7 linked regions of the Callithrix jacchus genome follow. The protein of the gene in region 4 interacts with the protein of the main gene of each other region in a pairwise test. Links are inferred from orthologs where the notes say so. Each region holds a gene or a part of one and is shown on either strand. Other genes may lie near its edges. The genes, in order: PRPF38A, YTHDC1, ECE1, CLK2, SNIP1, LUZP4 and RNPS1.

Evidence for each region.
Region 1: the proteins of CLK2 (region 4) and PRPF38A interact in binary tests that used the Homo sapiens proteins (3 or more experiments, as listed by UniProt). The link is inferred for Callithrix jacchus from reciprocal best matches to the Homo sapiens genes CLK2 and PRPF38A.
Region 2: the proteins of CLK2 (region 4) and YTHDC1 interact in binary tests that used the Homo sapiens proteins (3 or more experiments, as listed by UniProt). The two-hybrid records come from large-scale screens. The link is inferred for Callithrix jacchus from reciprocal best matches to the Homo sapiens genes CLK2 and YTHDC1.
Region 3: the proteins of CLK2 (region 4) and ECE1 interact in binary tests that used the Homo sapiens proteins (3 or more experiments, as listed by UniProt). The two-hybrid records come from large-scale screens. The link is inferred for Callithrix jacchus from reciprocal best matches to the Homo sapiens genes CLK2 and ECE1.
Region 5: the proteins of CLK2 (region 4) and SNIP1 interact in binary tests that used the Homo sapiens proteins (3 or more experiments, as listed by UniProt). The two-hybrid records come from large-scale screens. The link is inferred for Callithrix jacchus from reciprocal best matches to the Homo sapiens genes CLK2 and SNIP1.
Region 6: the proteins of CLK2 (region 4) and LUZP4 interact in binary tests that used the Homo sapiens proteins (3 or more experiments, as listed by UniProt). The two-hybrid records come from large-scale screens. The link is inferred for Callithrix jacchus from reciprocal best matches to the Homo sapiens genes CLK2 and LUZP4.
Region 7: the proteins of CLK2 (region 4) and RNPS1 interact in binary tests that used the Homo sapiens proteins (3 or more experiments, as listed by UniProt). The two-hybrid records come from large-scale screens. The link is inferred for Callithrix jacchus from reciprocal best matches to the Homo sapiens genes CLK2 and RNPS1.

Annotation. Positions count from the first base shown.
Region 1 is NC_133508.1:89,575,020-89,578,677, forward strand, and holds the end of PRPF38A (pre-mRNA-splicing factor 38A), read right to left. Parts: intron 3,330-3,658; coding exon 3,217-3,329; intron 2,592-3,216; coding exon 2,565-2,591; intron 2,470-2,564; coding exon 2,351-2,469; intron 1,870-2,350; coding exon 1,821-1,869; intron 1,111-1,820; coding exon 1,068-1,110; 3' UTR 501-1,067; downstream 1-500. UniProt on the Homo sapiens protein: Involved in pre-mRNA splicing as a component of the spliceosome.
Region 2 is NC_133504.1:129,082,542-129,086,835, reverse strand, and holds the start of YTHDC1 (YTH domain-containing protein 1), read right to left. Parts: upstream 2,801-4,294; 5' UTR 2,459-2,800; coding exon 2,431-2,458; intron 1-2,430. UniProt on the Homo sapiens protein: Regulator of alternative splicing that specifically recognizes and binds N6-methyladenosine (m6A)-containing RNAs.
Region 3 is NC_133508.1:58,137,503-58,141,002, forward strand, and holds part of ECE1 (endothelin-converting enzyme 1), read right to left. Parts: intron 2,901-3,500; coding exon 2,759-2,900; intron 1-2,758. UniProt on the Homo sapiens protein: Converts big endothelin-1 to endothelin-1.
Region 4 is NC_133519.1:15,701,450-15,705,394, forward strand, and holds the start of CLK2 (dual specificity protein kinase CLK2), read right to left. Parts: upstream 2,801-3,945; 5' UTR 2,497-2,800; intron 1,706-2,496; 5' UTR 1,517-1,705; intron 828-1,516; coding exon 658-827; intron 1-657. UniProt on the Homo sapiens protein: Dual specificity kinase acting on both serine/threonine and tyrosine-containing substrates. Phosphorylates serine- and arginine-rich (SR) proteins of the spliceosomal complex.
Region 5 is NC_133508.1:74,105,689-74,109,751, forward strand, and holds the start of SNIP1 (smad nuclear-interacting protein 1), read right to left. Parts: upstream 2,801-4,063; 5' UTR 2,737-2,800; coding exon 2,513-2,736; intron 1,300-2,512; coding exon 1,197-1,299; intron 1-1,196. UniProt on the Homo sapiens protein: Required for pre-mRNA splicing as component of the spliceosome. As a component of the minor spliceosome, involved in the splicing of U12-type introns in pre-mRNAs. Down-regulates NF-kappa-B signaling by competing with RELA for CREBBP/EP300 binding.
Region 6 is NC_133524.1:111,522,001-111,526,219, reverse strand, and holds the start of LUZP4 (leucine zipper protein 4), read right to left. Parts: upstream 2,801-4,219; coding exon 2,794-2,800; intron 2,153-2,793; coding exon 2,018-2,152; intron 878-2,017; coding exon 759-877; intron 1-758. UniProt on the Homo sapiens protein: Export adapter involved in mRNA nuclear export in cancer cells. Binds and enhances the RNA-binding activity of the nuclear RNA export factor NXF1. Can restore mRNA export function in cells compromised by loss of mRNA export adapters.
Region 7 is NC_133513.1:4,512,914-4,516,607, reverse strand, and holds the end of RNPS1 (RNA-binding protein with serine-rich domain 1), read right to left. Parts: exon of another isoform or gene 2,170-3,694; intron 2,149-2,169; coding exon 2,007-2,148; intron 1,370-2,006; coding exon 1,270-1,369; 3' UTR 501-1,269; downstream 1-500. UniProt on the Homo sapiens protein: Part of pre- and post-splicing multiprotein mRNP complexes. Auxiliary component of the splicing-dependent multiprotein exon junction complex (EJC) deposited at splice junction on mRNAs.

The sequences.
Region 1 (3,658 bases), on a different chromosome or scaffold from region 4:
ACTTCTTGTCACCAGTGTTGTCTATGGTTCTCATGTGCTTTTCTGATATAAACACTCTCTGTGCAGTCTTATTGACAGATTCCACAATTACTTAAAATATTGTCAATTCTGGCCTATCTCCAACTTTATGGGCTTTTTTTTTTTTTTTTTAGCTATACCATAGCTGTCTCAAACTTGTTAAATTGAATGCATCCCTTTCATTACTAGCACAATCCTCTAATACTCTGCCCCCTAAAAGCTTCTCTTTCTGCTATATTTTCTACTTTGTAAATGGCACTCTTGTCTAGCAATTTAGATCAAAACCATGACTAGTATTAGATACTTTCCTCTCCATCAAATCTTTTTCAATCCTGTTACCTACTGCTACCGAGTAGTCCTGGATAATGTCAATGCTTATATGACAAAGGCTGGATAGCTTAACCTGGATTTCAAGTTTGTGGGCAAGAACCAATGGAACTATGAAAAAATGGGCTGTATAAAGGGTATTAAGTACCACTCTGTTGAACTGTTCAATGAAACTGGCTTTAATGATCCAGAAGCCTAACATTTGAATGCATTCTGTTCTTTCAAAACTGTTAACCAGTTTTCATGTGTATCACCATTTGCTGCTGCTGGAAAAAAGTTAGGAGCTACTATGTTTTACTCATATCTTTGAATAATAGCAGCAGCACAAATCCCAGGATTCTCAAAGTAGTTCTAACTACAGCAAACCAAAAACTAAATGACAGAGAAATGGGAAACAGATGTGTCTGGTTTAATAAAAAGGAGAAGGGTCATCAGGTGGCCACATCCTTTCCTTGTCATTCGTATCTTCAACCTACAGATCCTTTCCACCCTCATAAGTTTGAATACAGTCAAGGTTAGTTCGGTCAAAAACTGATGTTAATGATGATTAAAAAGAGATACAAAACTCAGCACCTCCTTCATTAAAAATAAAGGTTGAGAAACTTTATAAGAAAAAAACTAAAATATTCTTGTAGCTGCCTGGGGAGTTCTTAAGCCTTCCACATAGACAGATACCCTCATATCCACAGGAGGCCATGTGGACTACAACCAAACCGAGTCCATTACTCATTCCCTCTCCGGCTCTTCTTGTGGCTCTTCTTAGACCTGAAATGGAAACACATATAAATAATTACATTAAGGATCTGGGCAGGGACTTCTGAGAAGGACCTTGGCATGCTGACACTAATGGGGAAGGAGCTAACACTCCATATTCATTAAACTGCTTGGTATTTTTTTGATTCAGAGCAACACTCTTGAATCAGGGGTTACTATCCAAATTTTACCATTGAGGAAATCACGTCTCAGAGGTTAAGAGTGCACCCAACAGTATGTGGCACATGGGGGTTTCTAATGAAATCTTATTAAATGAAAGTGACTCTTCCAAGGTCACTCAACTGTTAAGTTTTAAAAGCTGGGACTAAACTCCGTGTCTTCTAAGACCAAAGTTCATCCATTATCCAAAGCTGCAATCCTGTAAAGCAAAACAAAACAAAACGGGTATCTTGCTTGAACCCAGGAGACAGAGGTTGCAGTAAGCCAAGTTCACGCCATTGCACTCCAGCCTGGGCAAAACTCAGCACGTCCTTCATTAAAAATAAAGGTTGAGAAACTTTATAAGAAAAAACTATAAATGCGAAACCGTATCAAAGAAAAAGGGTCTCTAGCCCCAGTAATTTTCAAAGCAATAGACCAATTTTATCTTGTAATTAAGGAGAATTCCTAATATGCCCCAACAAAACAAAATTTCAGGTCCGATTAGTTATAATTGGGACTTTTATTTCTGAATAAAGTTAAAATAGAGGTCAATTCATTACCTTTCAGGAGACTTGGAGTGGCTCCTGTGTCTGTGACTACGGTGATGACCTGGGGAAGAAAAGGCCACTGTATGAGATCCTACCCTTCAATTCTTATTAAACTCCCATTCTCACCTCCCTAATGTCTGCCGTTGGCTTGATATTTTTTTTGGCCTATGCAGGGGACACCTCTTAGTGGTAGCAACTCTCTGAATTAGTGAAGGAAGAGGGAGCAAAGAAAGTACTAACGAAACCAGTTCAAATACAAATACATTCATTCAAGGGCTTTATGGCTGACTTCACAAACATCATATTGGGTTTCTATTATTATGTTAGATCTTATTCTTGTAATTTCAGATGAAAAAACAGAAGCAAACCTTATCAGCAAGGCTTATAAAAGTGACAAGCTGTGAACCTTTATTTTCAGATTCTATGTCCATTTCCTTTTCTGCTACGCAGTTCAGTCAGGCACCCTGTACTGCAGAAGGCTAACTGCTCCTTTTATGTTTCTTTGTTAAGAGAACCTGTGGCAAAAGGCCCAAATGCTCTACCTGGGGACTTAGAACGGGATCTGTGCCGCCGATCTCGGGACCTGCTGCGGTGACGTCTTGGACTCTTGCTTCGATGCCTTTCTCGACGGGGGGAGGGGCTGTAGAAAAGACTGGTCAAACTACCAGATCTGGTTAGCAATATACATAAAACACCAACCAATACCACCCCCACTCCCGAAAGCCCTGTCCTTCATCAAAATGACCGAAGGCCTACCTTCTCCTTTTGGGAGATCGGCTTCGCCTATAAAGAGAGGAAAAAGAAAGCCTAGGTTGGTGCACTGGATGTTGCAGATTGCAAAAACGGCCCCAATTTTATTCTTCACCCTTCTCTGTATCACCCTTCTCTGTATCCATGTCTTTTGTCATGTAACACTAGCACACTCCCATTCTAACTTTAGGACTGGACACATGACTTGCTTTGACTAATGGGATATTTGCAAACGTGATAAAAGCAGATACAAGAAAAATATCTGCATGACTGGGTTTATTTGCTCTTTAGTTCTGCCAGTACCATGAAAAGATGCCCATCTTATCCTGCTGGAGGATGATACAGAGAAGGGAAACTTCCCCTGTCATCCTAGCAAAGGCGATCCCATAGTAGCCAGCAAACAGCTAACAACAAAACAGGTACTTAAAAAACTGCCTATCCAAGCTCTGCTTAAATTACTGACCACAGACTTCTGAACAAAACAAATGGTTATTGTTGTCTGCCAATGAGGTTTTATAGGTGGTTGTTACAATAACAGATAACTAATATACTGGGCAAACATTCTCCATAGGCTGTCATTTTTCCTTCTCTAAAATCCAAACTTCTAGGCTATAGTGCTCAAAATCTCCTGGGAAAAGGCCAACGACTAAGGCTTTACCTTCTGGGAGACCGACTCCTACTCCTTCTGTAGCGCAGTGTGGGAGAGCGACGGGGCTTGTCCAAGTCTCGGTAGCTTCTCCGACGGTGATCAGGTGATGGCACTCTTTCCAACTGGAAACAAGATGGCTGGGTCATTGATAGGCACAAGCTCATAAGGAGCCACTAGAAACACTAATTATACTTTGCTCCACATCTTGTCCCAAAGTCCATCTCCAAGTGACTTTAAAGCACAGTGATCTGATTACAAAGAGGGAAGCACTTACCCTATTAACTAACAAAACTTATGAGCTATATAGGAACAGGAGCGGAGAGAGAGAGTGTGAGTGAGTGAGTGTGTGTGTGTGTGTATGTTTTGTAGACATGGTGAAACCCCATCTCTACAAAAAAATACAAAAATCAGCCAGACGTGGTGGCATGTGCCTGTAGTTCCAGGTACTTAG
Region 2 (4,294 bases), on a different chromosome or scaffold from region 4:
CGCTGTCCTAAGTAGTGTGATGAAATTACGTACCATCCCACTCCATCCTGCCTGGGAAGCCAATCGTCCCTCTGGTCAACATTTATCTGCACTGCATATGCTACCTGCCATTAGTCATTTAGTAACTGTCTCGGGTAGATCAACTATGCAGATATGGCAGTGCCAGTGTTCAAAGTAACCCTTACTTTACTCATTAATGGCCCCTTTCAAATCCAGTTTCTTAGGCAAATAATCACCACAGGAATCACAGGGAGCTAGCAATCTGTCCAGTTACATAGGCTTCAGCTTGTAAGTATTGAGTATTATAGAAGCATTATTATTGAATGATTATAGAAATTAATGTCTTTATTACCCAGATCAGGCTCAAAAACCTCGTAACTGAAGAACTCTATCACCAAGGCTTTTGACTGTTCTGTAATAATGGAATCATTTGAGAAGGAACTTAACATTTGTGACAGACTGAGATTTTTATAGGGTTTATCCTTATAATTTCCTATTTCATGTAAGACAATAAAGTACTTCCAGTCCCACTTTTCTTTAAGACAGGAAGAGCCAAGTATTGATTCTAACTCTAACTATAAAGCTAGCTGTATGTTGATCAAGTAAATGATACGACCTGTAGGTTATATAGAACTCTCCCAAAACGAAATAAACAATTTCAGTAGGTATGTGCTAGTTCTTCATGTAGCCCAGAAACAATCTTTGTTCTAAACTGTAAAGGACCTATATAAAAGTTTTTAAATAAAAAATTCTAAATAAAAAAATAAAAAGCAAATGTGAGGCAAAACACCTTATCAAAAGTGGGGAAATGTATCCCATATATTGCCAATAGGTGACATTACTACTTCCCAATTATAGCTGCTATAGAGTTTATGTATTTGTATTGCACTATCATCACTAAATCATTTCCAAAGCAAAACTTTTAAAATCATCTACTTTTCTTCTCCAATGTGCATTACTAGGTCTACCCTATGAATGACTTGTAAATATTTTCATTTTAGACAATGAATTCTTGAGAAGTACTGAATGTTACTCACTTTTGTGTTTGGTTCATTTCTCCTATTAAAACCACTACAGACTCCAGTATCAACAACTCGTAAATTATAAAGACAATCAGATGTTTGCTGAATACTAATCAAGATAATCTATTTTAATAACTGAGCTACCTAATTAAAAGCAGTTTCCTTTACTCACTAACACCATGCAACCCTAAGTTCACATTCCTTCTGGATTTCTTAAAAAAAAAAAAAAAAAAAAAAAGCCAAGGGAGATTTTTTAAACATATTCCCACCCACTCCACTTCCCAAGCTTGTCCCTATCCTAGGGCAGTTCACTGAAGCGTGAAGACTCTCCTGATGTAGAAACCAGAAAAATTAAGAAAAAGGATCACAGGCCTAATGTAACTTGACTCTAAAGCGCACTTAACAAACCCCCACACGAATCTCCCAAATCGATTAGCCACACGGAAGAGATCTGTGCGATACAGAAAAGTGACTGTGGTCATATTTTTAACTATGATCTTCCCAAGACTATTATGTTAATCTTAGGGTTGAAAAAGATCTTAAAGTAGCATTTAATCTAGATCACTCTCCAAACAGATATTGATCCACGACCTACATTAACATCTAGGGCTTGGGAGCTCAGTATATCTCTCCATTTTAGCAACATCAGTTCTCACTACATTTCACTAAAATTTACCCCTCCAACTCTCTATAACTTGAACCCATTTGTTTCTGATTGTAACCTCTGGGAGCTACACACGTTTTTTTAGCATAAACCCAGGATTTCTGTGCCAGCCTAAGTCACATGGTTATCTTTCCAAACTAAGTAGTATCCGTTTTTCCAAGTACGATGTTTTACCAAAATAAGTATTCGAGGAACAAAACGGGTAATTCACTTTGCTTATTTCACAGGAACAGTCAGAAGTTACCTGCAGCTATTTCTCGAGATGTATAATCTGCCAGCGCCACTTTAATCTTAAACATGCTCACTTACCACACTACAAGTGTTGATCGCGGCATTAGGGGTTTTCAAATTTTAGCCTAACAGAAATAGCTGTCCTGAAAATACGCATTACATCCCCATGATCCTACCAGGAAATAAAACTAGGAGCCTGCAACTCAGAAAGGCCCCCTCTCAGCCGCGCCCAGGACAGCTAAACGGAAAGTCAAGCGTGAAATCCGGATGAAAGAAAAACCCTACGCGAGATGAAGTGCTAGGCCATATGGAGACCGAGGACGAAAGGGCAGGCCTGGTCTCCGTCAGTAAGTCCCAGTGTGTCGGTGGGGTCGACCGGCTCCTCGAGAGGCAAGCTAACCTTACCAACCCCACCCCCCACTCCCGCCCCTCCCCTCAACGAAGACCACCGCTCCATCACCCCGCTCCCGAGCCCCAGCCCCGCCTCCGCCCGTCACCTTTCTCCGCACTAACCTTTCTCCTCCCGACTGTCGGCCGCCATTGCTCCCCTCCGGTTTCCGCCGCTGCCGCCGCCGCCGCTTAGACGCGACTCGCGCGGACGCCGCAGCCGCGGCAGCAGAGGCACGGGCCGGTCCGTCGGTCCGTCCGCCCGGCTGCGCGCCTCGCACCTGGCCTCCTAACACTCACCCTTCTCGACTCTTCCCGCTTACTCCCTTTCTCCCTTCCTTCCTTTCACTCCAGCCTCCAGAGGCCTAGGGCCAGCCTTCTCGTTAGGGCTCAGATACGGGCGAGGGTATGGGGGAGGGAAGGGAAACAGATGGCGACGGCGGGCGGCGCTAAAATGGAGCCTGCTTCCTGCGAGAAACAATCCCGCTCCCGAAATGCCCTGCGCTGTTTACGCTTCGTTCCTCTCTGGCAACGTCACAGTGCGGAGAGGGGCGGGGAGGCGGGACGTCCAAGAGAACGTGACATGACGTCAGCACGTCGCCTTGCTGCCCTCAGCTCACTTGTACCTGGAAGGAGTCTTATGCAGAGATTAGGTTTCCCAGGTTGTTTGTGGAGTTTCTGCTATGCTGCCTTTACCCAGATTGGGCAGTTTTCTTACGGGAAACCCCTAGTGGAGGACCTGACAGGCCTTAGCTAGAGTCGCTCTAGAGTACTTCTGATTCAGTTCAGGAAATTGGCATCTTATTTAGAAACAGTCTGGGCGAATTTACCCGTGGTATTTTCTTAGTTGGGGTCCCAACTTTGGGTTACCCAAAAGCAGTGCTGCGTGCAACCTGTTCATTTGTAGTTGCAAACGCCTACTAGTTTTTTGTTTTGTTTTGTGTATTTGAGATGGAGTCTCGCTCTGTTGCCCTGGCTGGAGTGCAGTGGCAGGATCTCGGCTCACTGCAACCTCCGCCTCCTGGGTTCAAGCGATTCTCCTGTCTCAGCCTCCCAAGTAGCTGGGACTACAGGCACACGCAAATGCACTCGGCTAATTTTTATATTTTTAGTAGAGACGTCGTGTTGGCCAGGATGATCTTTATCTCTTGACATCGTGATCCGCCCTCCTCTGCCTCCCAAAGTGCTGGGGTTACAGAGTGAACCACGCCTACGGCCTAGTTTTGGTTTTAATTGTGGAAAGAATTATATCCAATACATCTTTGTAATTAACAACAAATTTGAACATGTATCAAGGCCCTGGGGCAAACAATTGATTTAAGTAGACCATTGAGGAATTGAAACTACGGAAGTGACCAATAAATACATAACTACATAGTGTAGTAAATCTGTAAGAGAAACTTGCCTAAGAATCATTGTCCAACGTAAGAAAATCTGATTTTGCTTCACTGCACTATAACTAAGTTATAACGGAAAGAAAAATGTGAAAAAAGGTAACCTCGTGATATGAAGACAAACTGACAACTAATAGCTTGTTCAGAGAAAGGTAAATGTAGAACGTGGTACCTTTTTTTTTTTTTTTTTTTTTTTTGAGACTTGGTCTCACCACGGCTTGATTGCAGTATGATGATGATGGCTCACTGCAACCTTGGGCTCAAGTGATCCTCCCACCTTAGCCTCCCGGCTAGCTGGAACTACAAGTATGCTCCAGCACACCCGGCACATTTTTTGCATTTTTTGTGGAGATGGGGTTAGTCATGTTGCCCAGGCTGGTCTTGAACTCCTGGGCTCCAGCAGCCCTCCCAAAGTGCTGGGATTATAGGTGTGGAGCCACCAGGACTGGCCCGTTTCTAGGACTTTAATTGAACACTAATTTGGATATATCACACACAAGCGCGTGCGCGCTAAATACTGAATAGCTGATGATCCTGAGGAATTGCTATTTGTATTATTAGTTGTAATAGGGTATGTTTTTTGAAAGATTTTTTAT
Region 3 (3,500 bases), on a different chromosome or scaffold from region 4:
GAAAGACCTTATTCAACACTTGTTTACCACCTGCAGAGGCAGCAAACATTTCTTCCCTTTGGGACATGCACGATCAATAAGAAGTCAGGAACAGATCCTAGATTTAATTTACACACACTCATCTGGAGAGTTCCTGGTCTCAAAACTGTGTAGGATGCTTCCTTTAAAATATCTTCTTGGAAAATGTATTGTTTGTTTTGCTGCCTCTGTTTGCAAAGCAGCAGCATGTTTCCGGAAGGGGAAGTGCAGTAGAAAGGTAAGTAAAAATGTACTAAGTGCCCAGACATTCCCAGAGGCTAGCCTTTCACAATCATCAGAAGATTTGCATTTTTATTCTATTTTATTTTAAACAGTCTTGCTCTGTCGCCCAGGCTGGAGTATAGTGGTGTGATCTTGGCTCACTGCAATCTCCACCTCCCAGATTCAAGCAACTCTCCTGCCTCAGCCTCCCAGATGTGCACCACCATGCCTGGCTAACTTTTGTATTTTTAGTAGAGACAGGGTTTTGCCATATTGGTTAGGCTGGTCTCAAACTCTTGACCTCAGCTGGTCCGCCTACCTCAGCCTCCCAAAGTGCTAAGATTACAGGCATGAGCCACCGCACCCGGCCAGATTTGCTTTGACTGGCTGGATGTTTGCTCAGACGTGGCCAGCATGGGCATCTGTTCCTGGGTAACGAGGTTACTGTCAATATCTGGGGTGGCCACTGCTTTCCCAGGTGGCTCAGAGGTCACCTGATCCTCTGGCCAGCTCTACTCCAGGGGAAGAATGTTCCTCTCCCAGGTCCAGGCTGCAGAAAACCTTTCTGAGACCCTGAGAGTGACACAACAGAGGCAGAAGCAGGATTCCTCCCAAGGGGCCCCACCAGGCAATAACAATAGAAATGTTTTGGGTCTGATCATCAGGAGCTGGCCCTTGGGGACTACCTCCGAGTTTCCAGTGAAGACATATCTTGGGGACTCCCAGGGACAGTCTCAGGGCAACACTGGCTGCCTGAGTCTGACCTGCTCCTGCTGCTCTGAGACAAGAGCTGTGCAGATGGAGCTGGCCAGGGCCCACACTGACCAGCAGGCGGTTCTGAACTACAGCCGATTCAGGATGAGGCGAGAAGATAGTGGCAGGAGAAGATAATGAGCTTATGTCCTGTTGGTAGAGGAGACACACACACACACACCAGGACACAATCACACAACACACACACTCAGCAGAAAAAGACTGTTTCCAGCTTGATCTTCCTTCTTACCCCTTTGTTCATTCAAACATTATTCATTTTACTACCTGCACACCTATGGCATAGGCACTATGCTAAGCACACGTGGTTAAGGGCCTGAAAACGAGTCATTAATTAATCAAATATGCAGTAAGCACCTGCTGAGCCAGGCACATTTGGTAAAACACCTATAAACCATTAGATAGTCAGTTAACTAATCAAGCAATTAGTTCTTAAGTACAACCTATGTTTGTGGAATGAGTGAATACCTATGTGCCTAACCCAGGAGAGATGGAAGAACAACTCATCCATGGGGGCCTGCTCTTTTCTAGGCCCCCAAGTCCCCTCCCCACCCCAGCACACTGTGGCCACCCTCGAGGGCCAGCAACTTCAGAGCAGGGAAGGTTCAACACAGCATGGAGGGGAGGTTTCCAGATCCCCTGAATGCTCCTAATCTCTCTCATGAGGTGAGTGACTGAGTCAGTGGGTGTATGCTGAGAAGAGGCCCCAGAGGCTGCTCAACCAGGTGAACCATCTGCCATCAGAAAAACAGATGCTGGGGCACACGGGACTGAGAGATCCTGGAGTTGGCTAACTCCCTATCCTCCTTTCTAACTTGGATCCAGCCTTTCCAACTTTGTAAGTGTTCACTGAGCATCAACTCTGTGTGAGGCACCTGGCTGGATCAGCTCAGTTGGACACAGAGAACCAGTCTCAGCCTCTACAGCAGGATCAGTGGGGCGCGACTGTATCACCTTTCAAAGTGAGACAGACAAAGGCACCTACCAAGGAACACAAAGGGCAGCTGGATCCCGGAAGGGCAGCTCTCCAGGGGGTGCTAATGCGCTCTGGAGCATACCAGGACTACAAAGGGAGGTGGAGCCCGGGCTGGAGCCCAGTAGCCTGTGGGTGAATTCCAACCTCCGAATTCAAGTGCCCACTCAATCCCCCATTAGCCACGTAACCTTGAGCAAGTCACTCCACCTCAGTGCCTCAGTTTCCTAATAATGGAAAGGGGGCCAAAAGTAACCCCACCTCACAGGGCTGTCTCGAGGAGGAAATGAGAAGCGAGGGGTGAGGTATTTGGTCTGAGGAACAAATTCAGTAAACAGAGGGCACTACTGTTACTTTATTGGAACTAAAGACGGCAGACGGTGTCAGCCTATGTTGTGTAATTACCCCACATCCCAGCAGCAACAGCACCCAGAGCTGACGCTGAAGAAGTCCAGCTACGTGGCATAAGTTATCTATAGTTGCAGAGCCTTCCCCCAATTAGGCACTGTCATGGGCTGAGAGAGTAAGTGACTTGTCCAAGGTCACACAGCCAGTACGTTGCTCGAATGTGGACTCAAGTGAGAGACCTTTATACCACCCATACTGCCCACTTCCCAGGTCTTGGCCCATCTCAGCACCCAGACGCCCCGGGACCAGCTCCCTCCTTGGCCTCAGAGGCCTGTCCCGGCTTAAGCAGGGAAGCCTCCCTTGCCCAAGTAGACAGAGCCGGGGCAGGAGTCAGTCAAGCCCACCATGTAACACAGAGGCACCTACTTGTCTGGTACTGGATGCCCAGTGCTGCCAAGCAGGCCACCAGTCCTGCCGCCAGAAGTGCCACCAGCACCACCAGCCGCTTCTCCACCTGGGTCCGTGCAGCCCAGCACCTCTGGCCACTCCCAGGGCTGTGGAAGTTCACCTGCAGGGAAGAAGGCAGGAGGGGCGGGGAAGATGTGAGCCCCCGGCCCCACTTCCCCAGGACTAAGGGGCTTCGCTGCAAGCCCAGGCCCTGGGGAGGCATCAGGGCCACCTCCTGTCTCAGGGGTGGTCTGGTTCCCACAGACTCAGCCCTACTCCAGGAAAGGAACCGCCACCCGGCTTAGCTGCTCAGATCTGCTCCCAAACATCGAGAGTCAAGCAGCTCGGCCCAGATAGGCTTGTGTTTTTTTGTGTCACTTGATATGAGTGGAAGGAAAAAAACTACAGTTTTTCACTGTTTCTCCAGTGAGGAGTTCAAAAGAGAACAGGATGTTTGGACTTGCAGGCATCCAGTGAGCACCCAGCTGGGCTCTCTGCAGAGCCCCCACATCACTGGGGTCAGGAACAGGATGACACAGCCACAGCTCACACTTCCCAGAAGCACGGACATCCTTAGCTCATTCAACCCTCGCAATCCCACTCGAGCTGCCTTGTTAATTCTCTTTTTATGAGTGAGGAAACTGAGGTCCAGAGAGGTAAGACCCTGGCTTCTCATCACCCAGCTGAATGGGGACAGCTGGGATTAGAACCCAAAGCTGTT
Region 4 (3,945 bases):
TCTTGCAGTGAGCTGAGATCACGCCACTGCACTCCAGCCTGGGCAACAGAATAAGACTGTCTCAAAAATAAATAAATAATATTTAAAAATTTTATAAAATGGGGGTGGAGGGATAACATTAGGGAGAAATACCTAAAGTACATAACAGGGGTGATGGATACAGCAAACCACCATGGCACATATATACCTATGTAACAAAGCTGCATGTTCTGCACATATACCCCAGAACGTAAAAGTATAGTTTAAGAAAAAAAAAGTCTATCAAAAAAATAAAACATTGAAACCACAAAGATCTAATGTCTTATCTGTTAGCTTATTAGTTACCTGTAGCTCCCAGTCCTTTGCACATGCTTTCCCTCTGCCAAGACACTTCCCCACCCCACTCCTACTTGTCCTCCAGACATAAGCAGATGTCACTTTCTCTGCAATGTTTTCTCAGCCTGCCCCATTCTAACCAAACCCACTGGTTCCATCCTCAGTTCCTCACTATGTATTGGAACACTTAACACTGCAGCACAAATGGCTTCTTGGGTTATCTATCCTGACGTTACCGTTAGCCACCTACTTAATGGTTTCAGCATACAACCAGTAAGTATTTGCTGAACAAATGAACGAGCCAGTGACCCTGTGTTTGAGTTTCTCTTCCTGAGGCCTCACCTTCGAGAACGGACATGGTAGCTATCCTCTCGCCGGCGCCGTCGTGTGCGGTCACTACTACTTGACCAGGAGCGACTTCTTCGTCGCTTATGCTTTCGGCTCCGATAGTGTTCACGGTAACTCCCCCGGCTGCCTCGCTCTGAGGAATGGTACCTTCGAGGATGAGGCATCTGGAAAGGAAGGGAAAGTGGAAACAGGAAAGTTCTGAGTTTTCAGAAGTCTCCTCCAAGGAGTGGCTGCTCCAAAGACGCTAAGCCGCTTTCTCCTTTTTTTTTTTTTTTAATTTCATTTTTGACTCTCTTTTTTCTTAAGGCCAAGCTACAGCATGGATCTGCTTTTTTATTTCTGCCTCTTTTTACCAGGCACAACTTCCTCAGTCTTCCTCTGGACTTACAATTCCTCCTTATTGGAGTGCAGCCACCTACTAACTCTGGCTGAAACTCTAGTAAGCCCCCAAACGCATCCCTCATTACCCCCCACTCAGCTCAAGTGTTCTATCCTTATTTTCTCCAGACACAGCTCCATGAAGACTTTCAGGTCTAGGACACACAGTTCATTACAGGGGAAAGTGTATGATGACCGATGGAGACTGCCACAGTTCCTCCCTGGTCAGGATCTAAGATACAGATTTGTGTGATGCTGAGTTTCTCACAAGCCAGTAGAATAAAGCTTTGGTTTACAGTTATGATCAATGTTGTACAGTCATTAAGAGTACCTCTTATCTCCCCAAGTAAACTATCAGTGTCCTGAGGGTAGAAATCCAGTCTCCCAGGTTTCTACATATACCAGGTAAATGTCAAATACTATCAGTTCCAGGGATCTGGGTCGGGCCCCTTGAAGTAACTTAATCATCTCTCACATCTTTGGTCGACTCTCCCTTGAGAGCTTTTAATGCAGTAGGCCACCAACTACCGTCAGCATCCCATCTGGCCCCTCCACTCTTGTTCTTAAGACGTAGACAATAACTGGTTTTTAATTAATATCAGCCCTATTTGGCTGAGAGCTGGCCACCTTCCAGTTAATGGAATGGTTCACAAATCTTTTTTTCCTTCAAGGAAAAAAGAGAAAAATCACTGTCACAATCCAGGAAGATGAGAATAGGAAGGCAGAGTAAAACGAAACAGGCTCAGGGACAGAAGTCTGGGTTGGGGGGGCGGGTGCATGAGAATCGGGTATGCAAAAGGTTTAATGATTCCAATGTCTGACTCCCATTCTGCATCCTATCTTCCCAACCTCCCCAAATTGAGGAGGGTGGCATTTGATGCATTATTGGCGTAACTGGGGCCGGTAAAATACTAAGAGGCAAGCACAGTATATTCCCAGGTAATCCATTCTAATTAGCATAGTCACATAAATGCCATCTCACCACACACTACCATCAAATGGCCTCACAGTACTTTACCCTCAAAGAATCTCTAGCCTACCTTTCTCAAGTTCGAAATCGTTTGCTTTTTCCTTACTCAGAAAATCCAGAACTCCTACAGGCAAATTCTTCCTGCATGCTGCAAGTGACATGGTTCCTCCCCTTCAGCTTTGACTGGACTCCTGAGTCCAACTTTGATATTCTGCTCCTTCACAGCTCTGGAACCACTCTTATCCTTACTTTATCACCCCTTCTACTCTGGCTCCGCCCAAGTTTCCTATAGGTCTTCTCCGTACATCCCAGGCAGGCCGACCTCCTTCCTCCTCATCTCCCTACTCTGCCCCTTCATAGGTCTCAACTCTCCTCCTCTCCAAATCTCGCCCCCGTCCCTTGCCCCCAATCCAAGCCTAACCCCGCCCGCCCCGCGGTCGCCATCTTTTCGCCGGGCCCCGCGGCCAGCCAGCCCGCGCGCTCACCGTTCTGGCGGCGAGGCCCGTGCGCTTGTCCCACAGGAAGTCCGTGATGGCGGCGGCACTGCGGCCGGAGTCCCGGCACCACCGCGGCGACGAAGTGCTGCTCCACCCCCCCAACCCGGGACCCTGGGACCTCCCGCCCCGTTCCCGGGCTCCGCTTCAGTCCCGCCCGCCCCGGCTCCGTCCCCGCCCCTAAGATCTGCTTGGCGCCGCTCGCACCGCCCCCGCCCGGGGCCCGATCCCAGCTCGGTCTCCGGCTCTGGCCTCTCCGCTCCGCCGCCGCCGCCGAGAGCGAGCACGTACGCACGGACGCACGTCCTGCGTCGCTTCCCAGATACCCGCTGGGCTCCGCCCCCAGCACCGCGCGCGCCACCACGTGCTCACGTAGCTGGCAGGCGTCGGTCTGTCAGAACCCCTGAGATACTGGGGGCAGAAGTTCTCAGGGGCAAGAAGGGTCCACTGGGACGCGCTGGAAGCCTTCTAGGCCCGCTACGTTCCGTCTCATATCCTTTCCCACCCCCTCTTCAGTCTTTTACCCTTTGCATGGAGACGCGTGGCTTAGTTAGGTTTGGAGTTTAAAAGAAAGGATTGTCATTTACAGTGTCGCTGCTAGCCTGGCTCCAGGCGGGCTTCACCATCAAGCTTGACTCTAGTGAGGCTTGATGGTGAAGTCTCATTCTCCTGCATAGCCTGAAAATAACCATTTCTTAAAACTTGACCTACCTATCCCCAGGACAGAAGTTTGCCACCTTTTGTCATCAACAAAAGTTATGCACCACTGGGGGTGGGGACAAAGCCATGGAGGAAAGATTTGAGCAATGAAGGGATGGAGAATTGTGTGCCGAAAAGGGGGACTCACTTGAGAACTGTATCCTAAGGTGGCTTACATAATGTGTAAGAAATATGAGTTTGCTACAGGCGCGTGTTACCGCGCCCGGCTAATTTTTAAAAACATTTTTTCTTGTAGAGATGGTGGAACACTTGAACACAGAAGTTTGAGACCAGACTGGGCAACAGGGTGAAACCCAGACTCTACAAAAAATACAAAATTTAGGTAGAGTGCGGTGGCTCATGCCTGTGATCCCAACACTTAGGGAGGCCGAGACAGGTAGATCACTTGAGCACAAGAGTTCAAGACAGCCTGGCCAACATAGCGAAACCCTGTCTCTACTAAAAATACCAAAATTAGCTGGGTGTGGTGGCCGGTGGCTGTAATCCCAGCTACTCAGGAGGCTGAGGCATGAGAATTGCTGGACCTGGGAGGTGGAAGTTGCAGTGAGCCAAGACGGTGCCATTGCACTCCAGCCTAGATGACAGAGTAAGACTGTGTCTCAAAAACAACAACAACAAAATTAGCCAGTCATGGTGTCTCCCACCTGTAGTCCCAGCTACTTGGAAGGCTGAGGTGGGAGGATCACTGAACCTAGGGAGGTTGAGGCTGCAGTGACCTGT
Region 5 (4,063 bases), on a different chromosome or scaffold from region 4:
GTGCCCTCCAAAATTAGCTTGTTGAAGTACCAAACGCAAGTACCTCAGAATGTATTAATAGCCGTATTTGGAGATGAGGTCTTTACAGAGCTGATTAAGTTAAAATGAGCGTAGGGCCCTAATTCAATATGGCTGAGAAAAGACACCAGGACAGGAGAAAGATCATGTGAAGATGTAGTAAAAAGGTAGCCATCTACAAGCCAAGGAGAGAGGATGTTTTTCAGGAGAATCCAGACCTGCTAACATCCTCATCTTTGACTTCTAGCCTCCAGAATTACAAGAAAATGAATTTCTGTTGTTTAAACCACGTACTCTATGGCATTTCATTATGGTGGCCCTAGTAAACTAATACAGCCACTCTGGAAAACAGTCTGGTAATTGCTTAAAAAAATTAAACCTGCAACTACCATACAATCCAGCAATTGCACTTCTGAGCATTTATCCCAGAGAAATGAACTCTTATGTTCGCATATAATCCTATACACAAATGTCTATATAGCAGCTTTATGTGTAATAGCCAAAAAATGGAAACAAGCCAGATGTTCTTTAATGAGTGAGTGGCTAAATCCATGCTATTGGATATCACTCAGAAATAAAATGGAACAAACTACTGAGAGATGCAACCTGAATCAATCTCTGAAGGATTCTGCTGAGTGAAAAAAAGACAATCCTAAATTAGGTTACACATTGTATGATTCCATTTATGTAATATTCTTGAAATGAAAACATTACAGAAATGAAGAACAGATTAGAAGTTGCCAGAAGTTAAAGAATGATAAAGGTGGGAGATGAGTGGGTGTGGCTACAAAAGGAGAACAGGAGGTATTCCTTGTGGTGAAGGAAATGTTATCTTGACTATACTGATGTCAATATTCTGATGGTGATGCTGTACCACAGTTCTGTTATGAATAGATGTTACCACTGGGAGAAACCAGGCAGAGTATATCTCTCTGAATTATTTCTGACAACTGCATGTGAACCAACAATAATCTCAAAATAAAAAGGTGAATTTCAGCAAACAAGCAGAAAAAAAGAAATATACCCAATTTTCAGAAAAGCCCATTGGAAGTACAAGTAGAAATGTAGGCGAGTGTGCGTGCACACACACACACAACACACATACACAGCCCTCTCTAGCTATGATAGGAAAAGGCTCTCTATGTGGCCCCAACATCAAAACACCCCAATCCACTTACCTGCTTCACTTTGACTGTTGAGTGGTGAGGACTTCGGGTCCTCTTACTCCGAGGAGACTTGCTTCTTCTCCCTGAGGACTTGTTTTTCTTTTTGGGTGGGGACCTATACAAAGCATGGTACATACAGGATTTTACTCAATTTCCCTTCCCCCATAAAAATTAGCTTCCAGTATCAGGCTTACATACTAACACAAACACCACATTTGTGAAGGTCTCTGACAGACACATTATAGTCACGAGGTTCACTTTCCTAGCCCTAACATCTCCCTCGCATTCCACACTCACAAAGACAACTCTCTACTGAACCTTCTCACTTAGATAACATAGCTCTTAGTTCCCAAGCCTTCAAAAACCTTTCCTCTCCTACTCTTTGCCATCTTGTTAATTGGCATCACCATCCAGAAGTCACCTTTGACTCTTTACCCCTCACTACCAACACCCCTACCATCAATAACAATTTATCCATCCTGTGGTTCTGCTTCCTGCCTATACCATCTCATTCCTACCACCCACCTGCTTGACCACTATACTCCACTGACACTGGCTTTTTCCCATTTCAATCATGATTCATTCTACTTCAAGTGCTTTGCACATGTTGTTTCCTCTGCCTGGATCTTTCAGAGGCTGGATCATTCCTATCAGTCAGGTCGCAGTTCAAATGGCACCTCTTTAGAGGCCTCCTCCCTCTTCTCTCCAATCTCTCACTATCACAGTACTGTTTTAACCTGTCAATAATACTTGTTACTAACTGAAACCCACTTTATTTATTTCTTGTTATTGTCTGTCTCAGGGCTAGATTTGGAAACGGTGAAGACCATCTAACTGAATCACCCTTGCAGCCCCAAAACCTAGGGCAGTCTTTTAACACTTAACAGGCACTCAGTAAAACTACGCTGAAGGAACGCATAAATCTATGTGAACTTTTTTTTTTAGTTTCTGTCGACGTGAAAACTTTTTGGGCAGGTAATTGTAAAGACAACGCCCGCACTCCATTCCTCCATTCGGGATGAGGAGAATCTCATTCCAATTTAACAGATTATCTGTGCTACCTGCTGAGCCACACTTTGCAAAGTGCTGGGGACACAAGAATGGAGGGACGGGATCCTGCCAGTTAGGCATTAGGCGTTGAACACCGAGCTATCATGCAAGTGACTGAGCAAGCATAACACAGGCACGACTGGATCACTCTCAACCGCCTCTGGATTAGGTCCGGGCTAGCTGCGCCCAGCATTCAAAACCCGTTTCGGACGCTAGCCCTGCCCGCCTTTCTGAATGAGCCCAACCCTAGGTCCATCCTGGGCTGCTCCCCCACTTACCGGCTAACTCCTCGGGCTCGGTTCCCGCGGTGGCCCGGGCGGCTCGGCTCGCTGGCCGGCGGGGAAGGGCTACCGCCGGAGTGGTCCGGACGACGGTGGGCGGGAGGGGCGGCTTCCGGGCTGAGACGCTCCTGCTTCACCACCACCGTCGCCGGCAGCACCACATCCACGTCCCGGTGTCTTCGCCGGCTCCCTCGCTCCCGTTCGCTCTTCACCGCCTTCATTCTGTGATTTTGCCTGAGCGAAAGAAAACAGATCCGTTGAGCTCCTCTAGCTGAAGGAAATGACGTGTTTGACTCCTGGATTTCCGCTTCCGGGGTGCCCCGGTTCCCATATATCTTCGCGGCAGAGAGATTAAACAGGTGACGACTCCCCAGTGAGCGTGGTCAGTGACTAGGTTTGGTGGCAGGAGTTTCGGGTTTCAAAAACAAACTTCTGGCCTGGCGCGGGGGCTCACGTCTGTAATCCCAGCACTTTGGGAGGCCGAGGCTGGCGGATCACCTGAGGTCAGGCGAGCATCCTCGCCAACACGGTGAAACCCCGTCTCTACTAATGATACAAAACAATTAGCTGGGCATGGGGGCGTGCGCCTGTAATCCCAGCTACTCGGGAGGCTGAGGCAGGAGAATCGCATGCACCCGGGAGGCGGAGGTTGCAGTTGCAGTGAGCTGATTGCGTCACCGCACTCCAGTCTGGGCTACAAGAACGAAACCGTCTCAAAAAAAAAAAAAAAAAAGAGCAGGGCTGGGCGTGGTGGCTCACGCCAGCACTTTCGTAGGCTGAGGCAGGCGGATCACTTGAGGTCGGGGGTTCGAGACCAGCCTGGCCAACACGGTGAAACCCTGTCTCTACTAAAAATACAAAAATTAGCCTGGTATGGTGGTGCAAACCTATAATCCCAGCTATTTAGGAGGCTGAGGCAAGAGAATCGCTTGAACCCAGGAGGCGTAGGTTGCAGCGTGCGGGGATTGCACCACAGCACTTCAGCCTGGGTGACAGAGACATCACAAAAAAAAAAAAAAAACCTGGAAAAAAGCAAACTTCTCAAGGCTGTTTGTTGCCACGTTATTAGTAATTACAAAACGTGAAAACAATGTAAATGCTCAGCAATAGGGAAGTTAGCCAAATTAATGGGTGTTATGTGGCCATTAGTAAACCATTTACAAACTCTAAAACATGTTAACGATAAAGCAGGATACAAAATTGTGCACAAACTGTAATTACATTTACATTTGGAAATAGAAGGGAGAAAGAAATGGAAATGCAATCAGAGATGAGAACCCATGGTCAAATCATTAGCGTTTCCTCTTCTGTTTAATAAACTTTCTGCAATGCTGTTGGGGCTCAGAAACTGAAACCCCAAAATAAGGCACATTGACTTGCTGAACTGAAGAAGCCTCGATGTTCCTTCCTTGAATCCACCGTCTCTCCCAAAGCACAGGACTTTATCTGTCTAATATCCAGACTACCAAAAGGAATAATTGTTTCTTTCTTCTCCTCCCAATAATGTAATCACACCTGACCAGAGACCCTTATACTGTCAAAAGAGCT
Region 6 (4,219 bases), on a different chromosome or scaffold from region 4:
AAATTCCATATGACCCAGCAATCCCCTTACTGGGTCTATACCCAAAGGATTATAAATCATTCTATTTAAAAAAAAACACATGCACATGTGTGTTCACAGCAGCACTGCTTACAATAGCAAAGACCTGGAACCAACCCAAATGCCCAGCGACAATATACTGGACAATGAGAAGGTGGCACATATACATCACAGAATAGTACGCAGCCATAAAAAATGAAGAGTTTGTGTCCTTTGTAGGGACATGGATGAATCTAGAAAGCATAATTCTCGGCAAACTGACACAAGAACAGAAAATCAAACACCGCATGTTCTCACTAACAGGCGGGTGTTGAACAATGAGAACACATGGACCCAGGAAGGGGAGCATCACACACTGGGGTCTATTGAGGGGTGGCCAAGGTAGGGACAGTGAGGGGTGGGGAGGTCAGGGAGGAATAACATGGGAGAAATGCCAGATGTAGGTGACGGGGGGATGGAGGCAGCAAACCACATTGCCATGTGTGTACCTATGCAACAATCCTGCATGATCTGCACATGTACCCCAGAACCTAAAGTACAATAATAATAAAAAAAATTAAAAAATAGTTGCAGGGGAAAAATCAACTACCAAACATTGAATTTAAATTATGTTCAAGGTACCTTGGAGGAATACCAAGAAACAATCCTTGCTTTCAATAGAATTTAAAGTAAATCATTAATATTAAAAATATATTAAATATAGGACTTTTTATATTGGTAAATTCTTGTTTTTTGTTTACCTGCTCAAATAAAGGCTTCCTATTTAAAGGGTGTTGTCCAGACTTCAATCCAGAAGGTTCTTGAGATGGTTTTTTATCATGATTTCCTTCCTCAAAGTTGCTTCTGAATCTTGAGTAGCCTTTGAACAATAAGCATTTTCTGTATTTTCAAGTAGTAAATTCAATGCATCTTTCAGAAGTATTATCTCTGATCTCATTTTTTTTTAAAAGCTATGCACTGGGTTTTGCAAAACTTTTGATTTTTCATTACTTTGATATAATCTGGTAATCTCACTGAATTCTAGAAGTCTTTGCCATACTATTTCAATTTGCACACCTTAATAGGATAGTCTCAGTACATATATCTCAATTTTGGTTTTATATGCCACCAAAGTTGGGACATACTATCTGAAATTAATTGAAAGAATACTCCAATAGAAAAAGGAGAGATAGAGAGAAAGTGTCTGCTTTGTTTGGGCATAAAGGCAGTTTAAGAAACCATCAAATAATATAGATCTCCAAAAGGCTCACGAAGAAGATCAATTTTGCAATGACTGTTTAGGCACATAAGAATGGGCCATGTTACCCTTCTTGGCTGCTCTGCCCTTATTATAAGTACCATCGCTTCTCTTTTCAGAACATGATGAGCCACTGAAGATTTACACAAGAACTTAAATGAAGCTGCATAGGCAACCATCAGGGGCTTAGAGTAATCACAATGTCAAAATGGTTTCAATCTATTGACTAGACTATGAAGACCTTTAATTGTTCAAAAGACTCCTTGTATTATGGCAATCTGTAGCACATTCATTTAAAAAAATACATACTGCACTTACCAATGAGGTTAGGAATACAGAGAACATCTGTCATGTTCTACCCTACTCTTGTTGTCCTACAACATTTGTATTTTCAAAATGTGGATGCCATAGTGTTCAGATTATTGACTATGCTCTTAACCCTCCTGTATTGCCTCCTAAAAGTAGAACTGGACCAACCAACCGAGGTTTGTAAACAAGTACAAAATATCTCTCAGCTCGTATGGCTAATTTTCTTATCCCATTCTCCATTAGGGAAGTAACTTATATACATTAAAATAAATTTTTATTCATATGACATGGCATAAATTCTTACCAACCCTGTATGGGTCCATGCCTAGAAAAAATAAAACAAGCAACATAATGTAACTTTAGAACAATGTGAATTCTTGATTTTGCTTACCTAGTTATTCACAAATATTTCAGACTCTTTTTACCATGTGTGACCATTTTTAACATATTTACCTCTCTGATGGCGATGTCCATGACCATTTGATTGTTGTCTTGAAGGCAAATCCTTTTTACTATGAATCTGTCTTGTATTCCTTTTTTCTATTTCAGCATTTATCTTTTCTAACTTTTTATAGAGTATAATGTCATCTGTATTAGAAAATACATAAAAAAGGAATAAAATGGCAAAAAACAAATTACAACGTCTCACATGAATAATCTATATCCTATCTCATCATATTTCAGAATACCAAAAAACTGATAACCCTAAAAGAAGATAACATAATAATAATGAATTTGTTAAATTATAATAAAGGTCAAACAATACAGACATCTTAGGGTTTGCTGGAACAAGAAAGAAAAATTCCTGTTGGATTTATGGTAACTTCATTTATGCAAAAGCAAAATACTTCCACATTGCAATAGCTGGGTGGGAGGTGGCGAAGATCATCTAAATAAATGATTTTACTAAATGTTATTTCAGTGTCATAGAAATACAGAGCAATAGAGTCATTATAGCACAGCTCACAGCTAAGTAAATGCAAATCAGCAATTAAATGTAAAGCGATAGACCATTAAATGTCTATCTGATTAAGTGTGATAGACAATTAGTTACATGCATTTTATCAAAAACTAACGAAGAAAAAGGAAGTGACAAAAGTAAGAAAGTGGTGATGGAAGTAGGAGACACCACAGAAGTGAGGAACCTAGATTATTGTATTAGGAGGAAGCAATCCGACTTTACTTTGTAGTCAGGCACGTACTTATGTACTCAGGCAGAGAGCACTTACATGGCATAATTTAAAGAATGGGGGACAGATACAACTTGAGGCAAGAAAAAAAAAAGGGTATTCAATTAGGAAAAGAGGAAGTGAAATTTTCTCTATTTGCAGACATGATTGCATATTTAAAAGACCCTATCATCTCAGCCCCAAATCTCTTTAAACTGATAAGTAACTTCAGCAGTCTCAGTATACAAAATCAATAAGCAGAAACCACAAGCATTTCTATACACCAATAACAGACTAACAGAGAGCCAAATCATGAGCAAACTCCCATTCACAATTGCTACAAAGAGAATAAAATACTTAGGAATACAACTAACAAAGGATGTAAAGGACCTCTTCAAGGAGAACTGCAAACCACTGCTCAAGGAAATAAGAGAGGACACAAACAGATGGAGAAACATTCCATGCTCATGGTTGGGAAGAATCAATATCATGAAAATGGCCAAACTGTCCAAAGTAATTTATAGATTCAACGCTATCTCCATGAAGCTACCAATGACCTTCTTCACAGAATTGGAAAAAAACCACCTTAAACTTCATATGGAACCAAAAGAGAGTCCGCCTAGCCAAGACAATCCTAAGCAAGAAGAACAAAGCCAGAGGCATCATGCTACCTGATTTCAAACTATACTACAAGGCTACAGTAATCAAAACAGCATAGTACTGGTACCAAAACAGAGATATAGACCAATGGAACACAACAGAGGCCCTGGAGGCAATGCCACACATCTACAACTATCTGATCTTTGACAAATCTGACAAAAACAAGCAATAGGGAAAGGATTCCCTGTTTAATAAATGGTATTGGGAAAACTGGCTAGCCAAGTGCAGAAAGCAGAAACTGGACCCCTTCCTGACACCTTACACTAGAATTAACTCCAGATAGATTAAAGACTTAAACATAAGACATAACAGCATAAAAACCCTAGAAGAAAACCTAGGCAACACCATTCAGGACATAGGCATAGGCAAGGACTTCATGACTAAAACACCAAAAGCATTGGCAACAAAAGCCAAAATAGACAAATGGGACCTAATTAAACTCCAGAGCTTCTGTACAGCAAAAGAAACAATCATTAGAGTGAACCGGCAACCAACAGAATGGAAAAAAATTTTTGCAATCTACCCATCTGTCAAAGGGCTAATATCTGGAATCTACAAAGAACTGTAACAGATTTACAAGAAAAAAACACATAACCCCATCCAAAAGTGGTGAAGGATATGAACAGACACTTTTCAAAAGAAGACATATATGAGGCCAACAAACATGAAAAAACACTCATAATCACTAATTATTAGAGAAATAAAAATCAAAACCACATTGAGATACCACCTCACACCAGTTAGAATGGTGATTGTTAAAAAATCTGGAGACAACAGATGCTGGAGAGGATGTGGAGAAATAGGAACACTTTTACACTGTTGGTGG
Region 7 (3,694 bases), on a different chromosome or scaffold from region 4:
CCGACCACTGGGAGCACCGGGCAGTGAGGTCCCAAGCAGTGTTCAGTGGTCTCAACTTTGGTTCTTAAGATGTTAAGCATTTAAGATTCTTCCTTGTGTCCCAAACCAATTTCTGAGGTGGAGAAATGGCCCCCTGATGGAGGAGGAAGCAAGCCTGGCATGGCGACGCAAGCCTGGCATGGCGACACATGCCTGTAATCCCAGTGACTCAGGACCAAGGGGCAACACAGCAACACCCCGTTGCTACGAAATATTTACCCCCCTCCCCACACACACTCTCTTCATGTTTCCGGTCGGGTAGAAGTTCCAGCTTCAGAGAAGGTAATAAAACACCTCATTCTCCTGTTTGTCCACCATAGGGGCAACCTAATACCCACAGCACACAAACCCTAGGTTCTCCTGCCTGAAAGCACTGGAGGTGCCACTGTGGATCACGAGTAACAGAAAGCTACCAAGGGGGCGAGGGAGCAGTGAGAAGGCAGTGAACCCAGTACTAGACCTGCATTCCACTCCTGCATTTATTTAACACAATTCTTCCGCTCTACACAACAAAGTACAAACACAGTGTCATCTAAAATGCTACAAAGTTTTAAAACTCAAACAAATTTTATAGTACTGACTGTACAATAAAAGCAAAAAAAAAAAAAAAAAAAAGCAATGTACATGTTGCCAAGATAACCTGAAGGGCAGGCACAGCGGGGGCTGCATGGTGACCCAGCAAAGCTGGCTCTCAACTCACTCATCAGTTTCACAGTAGGGCGATGGGGTGGGGTGTGTGCATGGGTGCAGACAGAGAGAACCATGCACAGCGACTACCGTGGGTGAGAGGCTCTCCAGGGCTGTGTGACCCTGTGTCAGAAGAGGCCTTGAGAGGCCAGGCCTAACAGGCTTGGCAGCTGCGCTAAAGCCCAGGACAGCTCCCTTTTCAAAAGGACACTGTGGGAAATGTGTGCTCCCAGGCAGGCAGATCACACAACTCCCCCAGAGCCTCACTCATCCCTGGTGGCTCTGTCACTGAACTGACTCTCAGAAACTGAAAATGGGTGAGCTTTCTAGCCAGAAACTCGGCGGGTATCTTGGCAGGCACAACACACACCAACGGCACTTCTGCAGCCAGAGCCCAGTCGGCAGAGGGGTGCTGCCTGCTGCCTGCAATGCCTGCCCAAGTGAGGGGGTTTGCTTTCCTACTGATCTTCCTTTGGCTAGAAAAGTGACAAAACTGAGCTGGGTGGGGTATAAGTTACAGGGGTGAGAGATCCAGTGGCATGCTTAACGGGAGGAGTTGGAGCTGGAGCGGCTCCTGTGGCGGCGGCGGCCTGGGGAGCGTGATCGCCGACGCACAGGGGACCTGCGCCTTGGGGAGCGGGATCTGCAGGAAGAGGAGAAACCACATCAGAGGAGTTCAGACTGTAGGGCAAGCTAGCTTCTTTCTGGGCAATTCTCCACAGTTTTACTTTTTGGTACTAGAAGTTGGGACAGGTCCCACCTGATGGGCCTGCCCCTGAGCTCTTGGGAATGGGTGCTCATGAGACCCAAGGCAGAAGCCCAGGCTTCCTTCCTCTTCCCCAAAGGCTGAAAGCATAGCTCACGACTGGCAAGAGAAGGCCAAACTGTGGCCTTTGGCAAGGGATTACCACCCCCACCTCCCACCAACTCCTCTGACACCCAACTTCCTCCTCTCCTAGCCCTTCTTGTTAGCTCAGAAAAAAGTGGGCCTGCACCTGGGCTCACAGGTCTAACGGTCTCCTGGGAAGGCCACGTCATGCCACGTCACTGCTCAGACTTAGAAAGTTGTGTTGGTGCACGCTAGGGCCTCTCCTGCCTGCTGCTCACTGCAGCCGTGCCCGTCCTGCTTTCCCCATGAGCTCTGAAGGGCTACTACTCTCTGCTACCCCTAACCCACACAGCAGCAGAAGGCAGGCAGGGCTGAATAAAGGGTCCCTAAGTCACTGCGGTCACATGAGGTTTGTGGCCTGATCAGTTCACTGAAACTACACTTTGTTTACCTTCTCCTCATCCGTGGGGGAGACCTGCGCCACATGGGTGGTGGCGGCAGCATTCTCCTGGGAGGGCTGAATCGCCTGGGGGGTGGTCTAGGCCAGGGTGCCAGCACAGCGGTGGCAGTGATCTCCTGGCCATCAATTTGTCCTGTTGAAAAAGAGAGCAAGTCATAAAATATCTAGCAAGCATCTCCCTACACAAAGCATGTCACAGTGAACAACAGGCCTGGGGGACAATGACTAATCACAGAAATAACGTCATGAGTACCATGTCATGAGGAAAGGCGTCAGGGAACATGAAAGGAGACACCGATGGTGTCAAGGCATCCTCCCACATCTAAACTGACGCAGGCCAAGAGCTAAAGAACGTGCTGGAGGTCAGGCGCAGTGCTCAGCCCTGTAATCCCAGCACCGAAAGGCTGAGGCGGGCAAATCACAAGGTCAGGAGTTCCACACCAGCCAATATGGTGAAACCCCTTCTCCACTAAAAATTCAAAAAATTAGCGAGGTGTGGTGGTGCACGTCTGTAATTGCAGCTACTTGCGGGGCTGAGAATGTCTTGAACCTGGGGCAGACGTTGCAGTGAGCTGAGATCACACCACTGCACTCCAGCCTGGGTAACAGAGTGAGAGAGTTTGTCTCAAAAAAAAGGAAGAAAAAGTGCTGAAATCCACTAGGTGGAAGAGAAGGGATATATGCCTTGCCCTGCGCTGTGAAGGACCCACAGTGCTGTGAGAGAAGGCAGCAGCGAGAGCAAGTGACAGGCAGAAGGAAGGAGGGTCAGGGTGGGGCCTCCTCGCAGGGCATTGCAGGTGCTATCTACCTTTGCGCTACCTTCTCCTACAAAGGGGCCAGGAGAAGGGGAGACCTGGTAGCAGGGCTCTGTGGCATGAATCAACTGAGGGGCATGAATCATCATCAAATGAAATGGTAGGAAAGGGAAAGGATTCAGGGCTAACTGGGAAGTGAAGTTGCCAAGCTTGGTGGACGGGATGAGGTGGTGAGGGACAGTCAAGATGAGCTTCCATTCGTGGAGAGGTGGGACTCCAGTGGGGAGCAGCATGAAGGAAGTTTCACGAACTGTGAAACTGTGTTTGGAAACAAGCAGTCTGAGAGGCGGCTCTCTGAATGTGAACGGCACTGAAACACAGGTCATGTGCTGCAATGGGGTGGCAAGAAGTGAGGAGAAGGGCTCCAGGGAGAGAGGAAAGGAAACGGAGGTGCAAACCCAGGAACCCCAGGGCAGCATGTGTCCCAACCTCAAGAACTGTCCGGTAGCTGGGGATACCAGGAACCCAAGCGCAGCCCCTTCTGTGCCCTAAAGGGTGAAGGGCTCTTTTGTCTTCTCAGTTCCCACCTTCAAGGCACCTTCAAAGTGCATGGGGTACTAACTTGGGCACGTAGATACATATTCAGAACATACTTAAGAGGTTTAACTTCAATAAACTCAGCCTAAGTTAGCCCAAATTAGGGATTTCACAGCACTGACTCTAGAATGAAGAAAAATCTGTCTTCTGTCTAGCTACCAGTGAAGGCCAACCCCTGCTCATTTTCTCTTGGACACAGCGTGGACTCACTCCATTCAATGACAGTACGGGGACACACACAAAAATCCTAGCAGAATCTTAAGAAAAGCTGGAATGTCTATAGTCATGCCCACCTATAAGATACCCGGATCCCCTTGGTTTTTAGCT